Linked DNA regions of Cricetulus griseus. The protein of the gene in region 1 interacts with the protein of each later gene in a pairwise test. Links are inferred from orthologs where the notes say so. Each region holds a gene or a part of one and is shown in the gene's direction. Other genes may lie near its edges.

Region 1 (4,759 bases):
CCATCTCACCCCCATCTCACTCTGAGCTTCTATCCCTGGAACCCAGCGATTCTCTTCCTTTGGACTCAGCTCATCATCTGCAACTTAAGTTTCTAGGTTGACATCCATCCCTTGCGTGCATTCCCCACTGGTAGGCAAAGGGGCAGTTAAAACTCACCAGGCTAGTCCCACAGCTTTCATGGGGTTCTTGCCCCTCTTTCTGGGGATGTATTCCAGCTCAGGAGAGAGGGGCTCAGGCTCCTCCTTGCATTCCGGTGAGCTGTGGCTCTGCAGTGCTCTGGTCCTGTTCTGGGAAGCCTTGTTAGCTGTGGCTCCAGAGAGAATCCCTGTGAATAAAAGAACGGTGGGGGTAGGTCAGTATAGGATGAGGGAGGGGAGGAGCGGCTGAGTTTTGAGGGAGGGGAGTGACTGCAGTTTGGAGTAACAAGTGCTGTGAAGAATCCAAAGAGAAATGGGAAAATCGCCATCGAGGTGACACCTTTGGAAGCTACTTCCACGTCACTGCGGGATCCTCATCCTCGTGCCAGGACAGCGAGCTTTGCTGCTTTCTATTCAGAAGACCGGTTGGGAAGGACTGCAGAGACATACGTATGAAGGAAATCCTGGGAACTGTTTTAAAACTACAGGACCTTAGCTATTCCTAAGGATAGCTAACTCCATCCCCTCGTATTATAGAAGAGGAAACTGAAGCCCCGAGAGACGAGCTGCTCCGCACAAGGTCAAACCGCTAATTACCCAGTGCTAGAACTCAAGCCTCCAGAAGCCCAGGGCTCGCTCTTCTGCACTGCGGTGAGTGTGAAACCCCTGGAACGCGCGGGTGACGAAAGGCTTCTTTGGGACTCCCTCTATCAACAAGACCCTAGACATGCAGTGTAACCTGAACGCAGGGGTTAGATTGGGTGACCTCTAGAGCATCTTTCACCCCCAGACTCTCTAAGATCCTGCCGAGAGGTATGGACAGCAATTAGCAGCCTGACTTCCTGCTGTCGTGCTGGGTGGAATGTGAAGGGAATGGGATCTTTTAGAGCCCTGCCCTCCCGGGGGTCCCTCTCCTTACCCCGGAGGACGCGGGCATTTCTGGCCCCCCGGCCCTTCAGCGCCGTAGCAGCTACCACCGCCGCCATGTTCAGGTCCCACCCCCCTTCACTGCGCTCCCCGCCGGGAATTGTAGTTTGCGTAAGGGGCCTCCCCCGCGCCTTCCGTCGTGCCTACAGCTCAGAAACTACATTTCCCAGAAGTCCGCGTAGCGGGCCCGGGAGAACTACTCCTCCCAGGAGACCCCGGAGGCGCGCACGCTCGCTTGTTTCCCTCCAGCTGGGGGCGGAGTCATGTCGGGAGGAGCTTGGGTTCTCCCGCCACGCCCCGGCCTGGTCATCCCAGTTCTGCCTTGTGATTGGCGGCTCTGTCAGCCCACCTCCGTCGCTATTGGTCCGGATTCCGTCGCTCTTTCGGCCGGGAGTCGCCTACGCCTACTTCCTCCCGGGAGGAGGGGCTCGAGTTCCGCGTCGTCGCGCAGAGCTGACTCTGGGAGGCGTTTGGGCCCAGAGAAGTGGATCGGTAGGTTTCGCCGCATGGAGTCCGAATCGGAGAGCGGAGCGGCCGCTGACACCCCGCCGCTGGAGACTCTAAGCTTCCACGGAGATGAAGAGATCATTGAGGTGGTAGAGCTGGATCCAGGCCCGCCCGACCCGGGTGAGAACTGTCGCTCCTCAGGCCATGGGACAGGAGGCGCTCACCCCTGGCCTCTGACCCCTGCTTCCTCCCCCTCCCCCCTTCCCTACCGGTCGTTCCTACCGACATTTCTCTCCCAGCCCTCCTTCCCTACCCCCCACACTTAGTTTCGAGGCCTGGCTGGGTGGGGGTTCCCTGACGCCTCCCCTGGCCCTTCCCCTCACACACCCCCTTCCCGTCATGCCCTCTGTCCTCTCTTCCCACACGGTCGCTGGCCAACGCCAGGTCTTCAGACCTAGCCTCTCTCCCCTTCTCCGCCCCCCAAGCGCTCTCCTCCTCCTCGGTACGTGTGGGACGACACCTTAACCTTTGGCCACATGACCCACTCTGGCGTCGTCCTATTCACTCTTCACCCCATTCCTCTTATATCTTTCGAGATCCATCTTTTAACGCTTTTCCCAAAGCAGATGATCTGGCCCAGGAGATGGAAGACGTGGACTTTGAGGAAGAAGAGGAGGAGGAAGAGGGCAATGACGAGGGCTGGGTCCTGGAACCCCAGGAAGGGGTGGTCGGCAGCATGGAGGGTCCGGATGATAGCGAGGTCACCTTTGCATTGCACTCAGGTAGGCCTTTGAAGGGGCTCACCTCAGATCAGTGCAGATGGACTTTTGAGTATGACCAGTTGGCCCTGAACAGGATATTATGAGAGACAAATAGGAAAGCCTGCAGGAAATTCACAGGAAGGACCAAAGGGATTAGATTTGGCAGTGGTGTCAAGTGAGACACCTAGGTTCAAATCCTACCTCTGCTGTTTATCACCTTTGTTAGCTTTCTGGATCTTGGTGTTCCTTTTTAAAAAGTCAACTTGGTAGTGGTGGTGGTGGTGCACACCTTTAATCTCAGCACTTGAGAGGCAGAAGCAGGTGGATCTCTGAGTTTGAGGCCAGCCTGGTCTACACAGAGAAACCCTGTCTGGAAAAACAAAAGAAGTCCTCTTAGATGAAAGTGAATGGACGTAATCCTGGTGGAAATTAAAGGCAAGTGACACTCCAAAAGTAGCCTTAACGATAATCTTCTCAGGAGCTAGTTCTTTGTAAGCCAGTCTCATGAGGCTCCCATCACTTAATTCATACCCAGCCTGGTGGAACCCTGTGCTGTTAGCTGTGCCCATGGACCCACCGCTTGGCTTGTACCTCAGAGTGGGATGGTAATGGGAACAGGACAGCAGCAGGAGGAGGACTTGTGAAGGATTTCCCTAACAACCTAATGCTTCAGACAAGAACTGGGTCTTGCTACTGGGTGTAGCCTGTCCAGGAGAGAATACCTGTGGCCTTGGGGAAAAGGGGTGTGCCTCCCCAAAGGTTTTGAAGACCAGAACTCTAGGTGAGAGCCCAGTTCCATCCCCTTTCTTGTGGACTATCTCTTGGGACAGCATCTGTGTTTTGCGTGAGCCTGGACCCCAAAACCAACACCTTGGCAGTGACAGGGGGTGAAGATGACAAAGCCTTTGTGTGGAGACTCAGTGATGGAGAGCTGCTCTTCGAGTGTGCAGGTAAGAGGCTGGGAGGTTGTGTCCCTCTGGACATCTTGGCAGGTGGCCTGTGTGAACGCACAGCGGCTATTTACTAGCCTTTGTCTTGTGCTGGATCCAGGAACCCACACTAGAAGAATAACTTTTGTGGGCACTTGGACAGGAAGTGCTAATTGGCCAAAGGAGTGTGGCTAAGGTGGGCACGGGAGGAGGTGGTACTGTGTAGGAGTAGATAGAGGCACGGAGAACAGAAGACAGAAGTATGGCCTGGGAGTCCCAGGCTTTGGGTGGTTGAACAGTGGGGTCAACAGTATCTTCTTGGAACACCTGGAGTTTCTGGGCCCTGGAGCTACAGTGAGTTTGGTCACTTGTTCTGCTGAGGCCCTCCTACCTTTTTTCTAGTTAGTTGTTTTTTAAAAGGTAGCCAAATATATGGGTCATATGTCCCCAGCATTTAGACACCTTTTACTGTCCTTCCTTTTCTGCCACTTTTTCTTTTAAGTTACATAGTTTGGGTTGGCCTTGGATTTACTATGTAGCCAAGGCTAGCCTTGAACTTGCTACACCTCAGGCACATTTGAACTGAAAGTCTGCCCATTTCTCTTTGCAGGCCATAAAGACTCTGTGACATGTGCTGGTTTTAGCCATGACTCCACCCTAGTGGCCACAGGGGACATGAGTGGTCTTTTGAAAGTGTGGCAAGTTGATACTAAGGAAGAAGTCTGGTCTTTTGAAGCAGGAGACCTGGAGGTGAGATCCTTGGAGTGGGCTTCAACTCTGTGGGACCTCAAGTAGGGATGAGCACTTCTCAGAGGGGGAGGGGCAGGCATAGCCATACTGGAGAAGGTTGCTTTGAACCATAGTAACCATAGTAGCTCAGCTTCAGCACTATGTCTGTTCACCAGTAACGTACATGCTAACCCTAGAAGCAGGGACACATGGGTGGGGTTCATGGACTCTCAGATTGGCTGGGTAGCAGGCTTGCTTGCTGATCCTTCCTCTCTGCCCAGTGGATGGAGTGGCACCCTCGGGCACCTGTCCTATTAGCGGGCACAGCTGACGGCAACACTTGGATGTGGAAGGTACCGAATGGTGACTGTAAGACCTTCCAGGGCCCCAATTGCCCTGCAACCTGTGGCCGTGTCCTCCCTGATGGTGAGAGCAGCTGTCTCTTCTTCCTGAGGGTAGAGGTGGATCCAGTGACTTGGGGGGTATTCCAGTCATCCCAGCCTCCTGCTGCCCCACACTAGGTCTTACTGTGACTCCAGGGGGAATTTTGGGGTCCTCTACTCTATTTTCCCTGCTAATTCTTTGCTTGGTGTATCTGACTGTACCCTGTGTCTTTTGGTCATTCGTGCCTTGGTCTTTAGGGAAGAGAGCTGTGGTAGGATATGAAGATGGTACCATCAGGATTTGGGACCTCAAGCAGGGAAACCCCATCCATGTACTGAAAGGTATCAGAGGAGGGAGGATGTTGACCTGGGCTTGGGGGAACCAGAGAGCCAGTGAGGGACTCGGAGCCAATGTTCCCCTGCTCTGTCCTAGGAACTGAGGGTC
Region 2 (4,925 bases), on another chromosome or scaffold:
AATTGACCCTTGCTACTTCCAGCAGCTTGGATGGATGGGGACCCTGACAGCACTAGAAGCCCCCACAAGCAAGGGCAGCCAGCACTCCCTATGTCTGCCCAACCCCTTCCCACAGGCTTCCAGATATTCAAACACTATCACCTTAACAGAGAAGCAGCCGACAGCCTCAAAGAACTCAGCAAACAGTGGGGCAGTGGTGGCGCATGCCTTTTTTCCCAGTGCTCAAGAGGCATAGGCAGGCGGATCTGAGTTGGAGGCCAGCCCCATCTATGAAGTTAAACCCTGTCTCAAAAAACCAGAGAGAATTCAGAAAACAAGGCACCATGGCCTTTCACCCCTTCTCGGTCAACTTGCACTACACCTTAGTCACACCTCACCTCAAATTATTATCAACATTATCAACAGAACCCTGAGTACTCAGGATCTCCAGACACTGTGCACAGCCTCCAAGCGCCTTGCCTGGGTTGTAGGGGACTGTAATTATCTACCAGAGATCAGCAAGAGGCTCAAGTTGAAAAGGCAGGTCACAGGCATCACCCAGGCCTTTCAAACCCCCCAGACACTGCATTCCCCCTGCCCTGCCAGCTACACCCACTGTCATTCTGTTTCCAGAAGTGCACATAAAAAAACCCTTAAATTTGGCAAGCACTAAAAATCTTAAAGTGGGAATTCACACATCTAAAAACAATGACTCCGATTTTATGTCCATTTGACATACTCGGTTACCCAGTTTCCTTTACTTCATTGATTCTGTAAACCCCACCAGTTAACTTCGCATTTCTCAAAAACACCCAGCACCCACCTCAGTACCATCCCACCAGAACCCACCACACACGGCAAACTCGGGACGGCACAGACAGGTCTGGTCCTTGCCCTCCTCAGGGAGCACCCACACTGACTGGCAAGATGTTTTTAATCCCCAAATTACCAAGTCTGATAAAGAAAATGAACGTCCCCACCTAGAAGGCTCTGAAGCTCTTCCAAGAGAGCTATTCAATCTTCCACTCAGCACTGACTTTTTGCAATAAACCAAACACACGTGTTGGCTCCTCTTTCAGCTAACACAGACGCCACCTTGCCCCCCTGGCGCGTGTGCGTGCGTCCTGCAGACATGTATGCTGCTAGCCCGCAGCAATCATTCCTCCCAGGGCTGTGAGCCGCTCCAGGCCGGCTCACGAGCCGGGAGGGGACAGACAGGGCCCCTCCAGCCCCACGTCCCCAGGTGCGAGGCCAGGGCGGCCGCCCCTGCAGCCATCTCCCTCCCGGGGTCTCCCGTCTCCCACCCGCCGCCCCCGCGCCCACCTTGATGGCAGTGATGGCGAAGGCGATCTTGCGCCGCCCATCGATGTTGGTGTTGAGGACGCGCAGGATGTGCTGGAACTTCTCGGGGATCACCAGAGACTGAAAGGACACGGGGCTGGGTGTCAGACGCCGCAACGCCCGGGCGGCCGGCGCCCCTGCCCTCGCCCCAGCGCGGGCCCCGAGCCGGGAGGTCCCCACGCGCGGCCCGGCCGCTGGCAACCCGGTGTCCGGGGAGGGACGGCCCCGGGTCCCCGGATTTCACGCCTCAGGCCGTCCCCCGCCGGGGAGGGGGTCGCGCGCCATCGCCCCAGGGAGAGCTGCGCGCCCGCGGCCCACGGCACCCCGGGAGCCCCGACGGAAAGCCCTGCCCGCCCCGGCCCCGATGTCGCCGGATCCCGGCGCGGAGCCCGCGCTCACCATGGCGGCGGCACACTCGGCGGCGTGTAGGCCTCCAGTGGAAGAGGGGGCGGAAGTGACGTGTGGTTCTTATATAGCTCCCCGGGGAAGGGGCGGGGCTAACCGGGGAGCAGCGCTTCCGGAAACGGCCTCTCCTCCTCCCTCCCCTAGCGAGGAGTCCCAACTGGGCGAGTTTGGCTCCGGGATCGTAACTTCCGGTCCGGTCGCGTTTACGGTCGTACGGTTCCCGTTCTGGGCGCGAAGGTTCCGGGGCGGGCACTGCGCTTGAGACGCTGACCTTCGCTTTTGCGCTCGAGCGGAGCGATCTCAGCCTGACGGCAGGGGAGACTGGGGCCCATCGCTTGGGCTCGGCTATCTGGGAACGTTCTCTTGCGCCGAACGAGACGATCTGGGACCTGAGGTTGTGCTTCGGGACGCGGCCCCCCGAGCCCGACAGCTGGCGGAAGTGAGGCTGCGGGGGAATGGCAGCGGCGGCGACCATGGCGGCGGCGGCCCGCGAGCTGGTGTTGCGCGCCGGGGCCTCGGACCTGGAGGAGGAGGAGGGCCCGCTGGTGAGCGAGAGAGCGAGCGAGAGAGAGCGAGCGAGCGAGCGCGGGCCGTCTGTCCTCGCATCGTCAGCTCCTCCCGCCGTCGGGAGGGCGTAGGCTGGGCTCACACCGGGCTCCCCCCGCTGCCGCCGCCGCCGCGGGTGGTGGCCGAGCCTTCGCAGGGACCACAGTGGCAGGAACTCAAGCCCCTCGGGCACACTGACAGCTTCCTATTTCTCACGCTAGAAACAAAAAGAGTAGGAAAGAGAACACACTGTAAAAGACGAGGCGCGTGCGCTCTGGAACCCGACGGCCTTGGTCCCCCTTGTCAGCCGTGGTGTGTTCCGTGCTCGCTTCCCACACCTGCAAAGAGGAGGCGTTGTTATAACGCCCCCACCTTATAGGTCGTCGTTAGGAGTTGGCCGAGTGAGGATGTGTAAGCGAGCACCCGACACACGGGGAAACAGCAGGGAAGCTGACTGTCTTAGCATCTAGACCTCCCTGAGGGGGGCATGGTAGACAGAGGTCCTAAGTCCAAAGGCAAGTTGGGCTAATCCTAGTTTTTCTCATTTGAACACCTCCAGCGACTCCATGAATTGCTTGATTTAGTGACATATTTTTTACTCATTAGCCCAGAAAAGTAGATTTGAGTGTGTCAGGATTGGTTTTTTTTTTTTTTGCAGATTTTTAAAATTTGAATTAGAAACGAGATTGTTTTACATGACAATCCCAGTTCTCTCTTCCTCCCCTCCTCCCTTACCAGCCCCCCAACTAAAACCCTACCTATCACATATCCTTTCTGCTCCCCCTGGATGGTGAGGCCTTCCATGGGGTGCCATCAGAGTCTATGGTATCCTTTGGGATAGGGCCTAGGACCACCCCCGTTTGTCTTGGCTCAGAGAGTATCCCTCTATGTGGATTGGGCTCCCAAAGTCCACACCTACTGAACTACTACAGGAGGTCCCATAGATTTCTGAGGTTTCCTCACTGAAATCCACGTTCCTGGGGTCTGGATCAGTCCCATGCTGGTTTCCCAGCTATCAGTGTGGGGACCAAGAGCTCCCCCATGCAGCTGTTTCTGTGGGTTTCACCAGCCTGGTCTGGATCCCTTCATTTGTCCTTCTCTGCATCTGGATTCCAGTTCAGTTCAGTGATTAGTTGTGGGTGTCTGCTTCTACTTCCACCAGCTGCTGGATGGGGGCTATTGGGTGGCCTATAAGTCAGTCACCAATCTCATTATCAGGGGAGGGCATTTAAGGTAGTCTCTCCTCTGTTGCTTAGATAGTTAGCTGGTGTCATCTTTGTAGATCTCCAGACATTTCCCTAGTGCCTGATTTCTCTGTAAACCTAAAATGTCTCCCTCTATTATGGTGTCTCCATTCTTGTTATCTTCTATTCTTCCCCTGACTCAGCCTTTCTGCTCCCACATCTCTCTCTTTTCCCCCTTCTCATTCTCCTAGCTCCCTCCCCCGTGTGTCAGGATCTTTGACCCACTAACTATGGCTCCCCTGAAAAAGCGCCCTCAACCCACTTTCAGGAGCAGGGATATGCCCTTGTTTTTTTTCTAGCGTTTCTTTCTGTATCTCGCACTCACTAATCTGTCCCTCTTCAGGGGGGTGTTTCTGGTCTCCAAGAGCCCCTGCAACTTGGGGAGTTGGATATCACCTCTGATGAATTCATCCTGGATGAAGTGGATGGTAAGTGGTGGCATGGGGTGGGGGCAAAGTAGCCAGCCCCCTTTATCCTTTAGGAATATAGTAGAGGACCCCCACTAGGTGACCCCCCATACTAACCCCTGCATGTTTTTTACTAATGTAGTGTAAAGTTGAATGAGAAGGGTTACTTTCTAATTTAGGCATAGCAAGAGTGGGGTAATGATGCAGCCCACTGTGATAAATTGCTGCATTGACAGTCTTGCTCTTTGGGATTATTAAGAAAAAACAAAGTGTGTATTTGAACATGGACATGTGCAGACAGCCAGTCTGATCTCTGGGACACTCGTACCACACACACACCATAGATTCATCCAGCAAAGAAAATCCAAATAAATCCAAGGCGGGTGAGAGGCCCTTCAGCTTCTCAGAGTGCCACACACTTTAAAGCCTCCGAGCCACGATTGGGAATTCCCATTTAATATTTTTGGCTTGTGGTTGACTAGACTATGAGGAACTGAAACAGCAGAAAGTCAAAGCGACTGTTCTTTTACCTTGAGAGGATGGGGGCTGGAAGGAAAGGGGAGATTGGTGTGCGGGTACCTGATGCTGGCAGAGGGGGGCGTGGCGCCGGACCCTAGTGATGAATGTCTGTTTCCAGTTCACATTCAGGCAAATCTGGAGGATGAGTTAGTGAAGGAAGCCCTCAAAACGGTGAGGTTCTCCGCTATGCCGATCTGTCCCCGCCCTCCTCTCCTCGGGGTCTTATGTGTCCCCTCTAGCCAGTCACTGAGTCTGTTCTGGTGTCCTTTCACTGTGGCTTCATCCTGACTGTTCCTGGTTTCCCCCAGGGTGTGGATCTGCGACACTATTCCAAGCAGGTGGAGCTGGAGCTGCAGCATATTGAGCAGAAATCCATCCGGGACTGTATCCTCCGCACAGGGGAAGACACGCGCTGTCACTGACCTGGGGTGTGTGGGACCCCGGGACTGTATCCTCCGCAGAGGGGAGACACGCGCTGTCACTG
Region 3 (3,405 bases), on another chromosome or scaffold:
TGCTTCCCTGTATTCATACTCCCAGCAGTCTTGTAAGCTACCACTTTTAGAGGTGAGCTTGACTTCAGAGCATGGACTCTGGATTCCTATCAGCCTTTAACCAAGTCACTCAGCTTGCGGACCTCATTTCTTCTCTGTAAAATAAGTGTGATGGGCTCAGAGGTTAAGAGCACTGGCTGCTCTTCCAGAGGCCCTGAATTCAATTCCCAGCAACCACATGGTGGCTCACAATCAGCTATAATGAGATCTGGTGCCCTCTTCTGTCATGCAGGCATATGTGAAAGCAAAACACTGTATACATAATAAATAAATCTAAAAAACAAAACAAAAAAACCACACCAGGAGTAATTTCAAAATAAATAAGGGCAGTGATACTTTGTGGTGTCAGTGGGGAGGTAGAATGATTCCGTGTAACGCTTGCAGAAGGCATGTATGGTATGTGTGGTGTTCTGATGCAGTTTTTAGTAAAGGTATCTGAGTTTCAGTCAGGTGCTTTGAGCTGCATATACCACCGGATGAGCAGCAGTGTGGCCTGGCATCCTCCTCCAAGCCCTCTTCCTATGTGATCTCTCTCCAGCACTCTGTCCCGTTGGAAGATAGCCTCCCGGGCTTCCCTTGTCCCTAGCTGTGAGCTGCCTGGCATGGTGCTGGGAGAAGTCCCTGAGTCTACTCAGTGTCCATCCCTCACCAGCCTGAATACCAAGGATGTGGTTCGGAAAAGACACAAGAGGAGAAGCCGGCAGCACCAGCGGTTCATGGCCCGCAAAGCCTTGCTGCAGGGGAATATGGCACCAGGGCCAGAATCCTGCCCTCTGTCCTCCCCATCACAGACACCAGCAGACACACAGGCTTCAGGCAGCAGAAGACAGCGTTCCAAAGCCACGCCTGGCGGTGGTGGCCCATGCAGCAAAAGGCCTGTCACCAGAGAAGCCCAAAGGCCTGGGCCCAGCAAATGTGTAGCCATTGACTGTGAGATGGTGGGTACAGGTCCTCGTGGGCGGGTGAGCGAGCTGGCCCGCTGCTCTGTAGTAAGTTACAATGGCGATGTTCTCTACGACAAGTACATCCGGCCTGAGATGCCCATTGTGGACTACCGCACCCGCTGGAGTGGCATTACCCGCCAACACATGCTCAAGGCCATCCCCTTCCAGGTGGCCCAGAAAGAGGTGAGGACTCTGGGGTCTTGAATGGCCTGAATGACAGGTTGGGGAGAGAAGCCCTGGTTTAAATCACCTGGGGAGTGTGTGGCCTTGAGAAGTTACTTCACGTCACCAAATTTGTAGTTCCTTTCCCAGAGTATGGGTTAATATAAATCCAGTTGCTGCCTTTAAAGGGCTGCCAGGCTGTTAGGCAGGGGGCTGCTGGTAGGAAGGTGATGTGAAAGGTAAAGGTACAACAACTTACAAAATGTTTGGAGTCTATAAAATTTGCCTACAGTCCTGTCACATTCAAGGGTTGTTGTTTTAGCCCATCTCTTTATGGTTTTTCAGTGCTTGGAAAAATGATCAGTACTTGGGATCCCACTAATATACTAGGGATGTTTTATCACATCAATAGAAACCCTAAGTAAGACACATTCCATGATGCCCTAAGCATTGCTTTGGAAAGACTTGATCATGAATAGAAGCGGTAGGAAGGTAATCTGTGTGAGCCCTCCCAACTCTGATCCCTCCCATCCGTGTTTGTGGTTGGCAGTGATCCCTGGAGCAGGCTCACTTGGGCTTAAGTCTAGGTTTGATTTCTCCCCACTTGATGGCAGGTGGAGTATGAGACTGGGGGTGACCCCAATCAAAAGTCTAAATGCATCTTACTCATCTGCCACAAAAACTTGGTCCCATGCTAGTAGGGACAGGCTGTAGAAGGCCAACAGCTAATGACCAGGAGTTGGCAGTCCTTTAGCCCTGTTTCTCTGAGCATGGGGAAGGTGCTGGGCAGGGAGGAACAGGATATGTCCAAATAGAGTTGCCTAGCATGTTTAGAGGGTAGGAAGGAAGAGTCAGTGGACTCAGGAGCAAGGAACTGTGTCACTGAGTCTAACAAGGGCTTCTACTTAACTGTGTTTCTAACAGCACCATACATGGTTCTGTTGATTTCATTCAACAGGTCTTTATTGATCAGAAGATCGGTTGGCTGGGAGGCTGAGGTAGGAGGATTGATGTTAGTTCTAGCCTGCACTGCATAGTGAGCCTGTAAAGGACCGGCCCATCAAACACAAGCAAATCAGTAAATGCTGTGCTCTGGGTGAGCATCACTGGTCAAGTCAAAGGAGCTTACTGTGTGGGAGGGGAGACTAGATCATCCCAAGAGCTAAATGTGTGTAAGACGTATAAAAGCTAAATCCATACCTAGAAAGTGTAGATAGCTTCAAAGAAGGACCAAGGCCTCCTAGGTAGATGAGGATAATGGGAGGTCTTCCAAGGAAGGTTGAGGAGCTGAGATCTGAGTGGGTGAGAAGGTCTTGCAGCCAAGAATTGCCTTTGCTAGTGCAAAGCTGCTTGAATCTCCCAATTTGAAGGCATGGCTTACATCCATAGCTTCCTTTACCCTCACAACTGTTTCCTGGAATGCTGAGACAGTATCCCTTTGGCAGGTGCTAAGATGGGTTTGTATTCAAACTTGGGGCATCATGGTCAACTGGGACTCATAGACTCTCCCCTTCCCCACTGCTGCCTCCCTGTAGAGTGCTTCACGCACCAGTGCTAAGGATGCTCAGGTTTGTCTTCCTTCGTGACAGTGGGGCCTTCCTGCTTCCTCTCTCCTCACAGATCCTAAAGCTCTTGAAGGGCAAGGTGGTGGTGGGGCATGCACTGCACAATGACTTCCAGGCCCTCAAGTATGTTCATCCCCGGAGCCAGACCCGGGATACCACTTACGTCCCAAACCTGCTCAGCCAGCCCAGCTTCCACACCCGAGCTCGGGTCTCTCTGAAGGACCTGGCCCTGCACCTGCTGCACAAGAAAATTCAGGTATGCGGTGCAGAATCTCTTGGTGCCAGGGCTCATCTGACTGTCAATGCTGCTGAACTCTGGATAGGACTGTGGACTGTTGCTTGCATACAGGCAGCACTGGTGTAGCCACCTCCTTTCCTGTGTGAATTCCCTAGTGATAGTCAAATTCTTCTAGACTCATCTCTGTAGGTCTTTGCCCACCCAACTCCTGGCTATATCCTGAATCTCCGTAGAATGTGTTCTGACTCACACTCAGATCAAGAGGCCTGTGACTCTTAACTTCTAGAGCAGGAAATTTTGTTTTAAATGTGTGTGGGTGTTTGGCCTGCATGTATGTCTATGCACAACATGTATGGCATATCTTTGGGGGCAGAAGAGGGCATCAGGTCCTCTGGGACTGGAGTTACAGACAGTTGTGAGATGCCATGTAGTGATAAGCATTGAGTCTGGGTCCTGC

What was found.
Region 2: the proteins of Aamp (region 1) and Vps52 interact in a two-hybrid assay, tested with the Homo sapiens proteins (2 studies listed by BioGRID and IntAct). The link is inferred for Cricetulus griseus from reciprocal best matches to the Homo sapiens genes AAMP and VPS52.
Region 3: the proteins of Aamp (region 1) and Aen interact in binary tests that used the Homo sapiens proteins (3 or more experiments, as listed by UniProt). The link is inferred for Cricetulus griseus from reciprocal best matches to the Homo sapiens genes AAMP and AEN.

What each region holds. Positions count from the first base shown.
Region 1 is NC_048595.1:427,520,998-427,525,756, reverse strand, and holds the start of Aamp (angio-associated migratory cell protein), read left to right. Parts: upstream 1-1,479; 5' UTR 1,480-1,571; coding exon 1,572-1,692; intron 1,693-2,135; coding exon 2,136-2,294; intron 2,295-3,103; coding exon 3,104-3,223; intron 3,224-3,812; coding exon 3,813-3,952; intron 3,953-4,212; coding exon 4,213-4,357; intron 4,358-4,572; coding exon 4,573-4,656; intron 4,657-4,747; coding exon 4,748-4,759. Other genes in the region: probable hydrolase PNKD, read right to left, coding at 158-326, 1,058-1,124. UniProt on the Homo sapiens protein: Plays a role in angiogenesis and cell migration. In smooth muscle cell migration, may act through the RhoA pathway.
Region 2 is NW_023276806.1:232,057,723-232,062,647, reverse strand, and holds the start of Vps52 (vacuolar protein sorting-associated protein 52 homolog), read left to right. Parts: upstream 1-1,973; 5' UTR 1,974-2,180; coding exon 2,181-2,270; intron 2,271-3,858; coding exon 3,859-3,943; intron 3,944-4,559; coding exon 4,560-4,612; intron 4,613-4,749; coding exon 4,750-4,825; intron 4,826-4,925. Other genes in the region: Rps18 (40S ribosomal protein S18), read right to left, coding at 1,303-1,401, 1,720-1,722. UniProt on the Homo sapiens protein: Acts as a component of the GARP complex that is involved in retrograde transport from early and late endosomes to the trans-Golgi network (TGN).
Region 3 is NC_048596.1:118,714,054-118,717,458, reverse strand, and holds part of Aen (apoptosis-enhancing nuclease), read left to right. Parts: intron 1-577; 5' UTR 578-641; coding exon 642-1,166; intron 1,167-2,765; coding exon 2,766-2,966; intron 2,967-3,405. UniProt on the Homo sapiens protein: Exonuclease with activity against single- and double-stranded DNA and RNA. Mediates p53-induced apoptosis.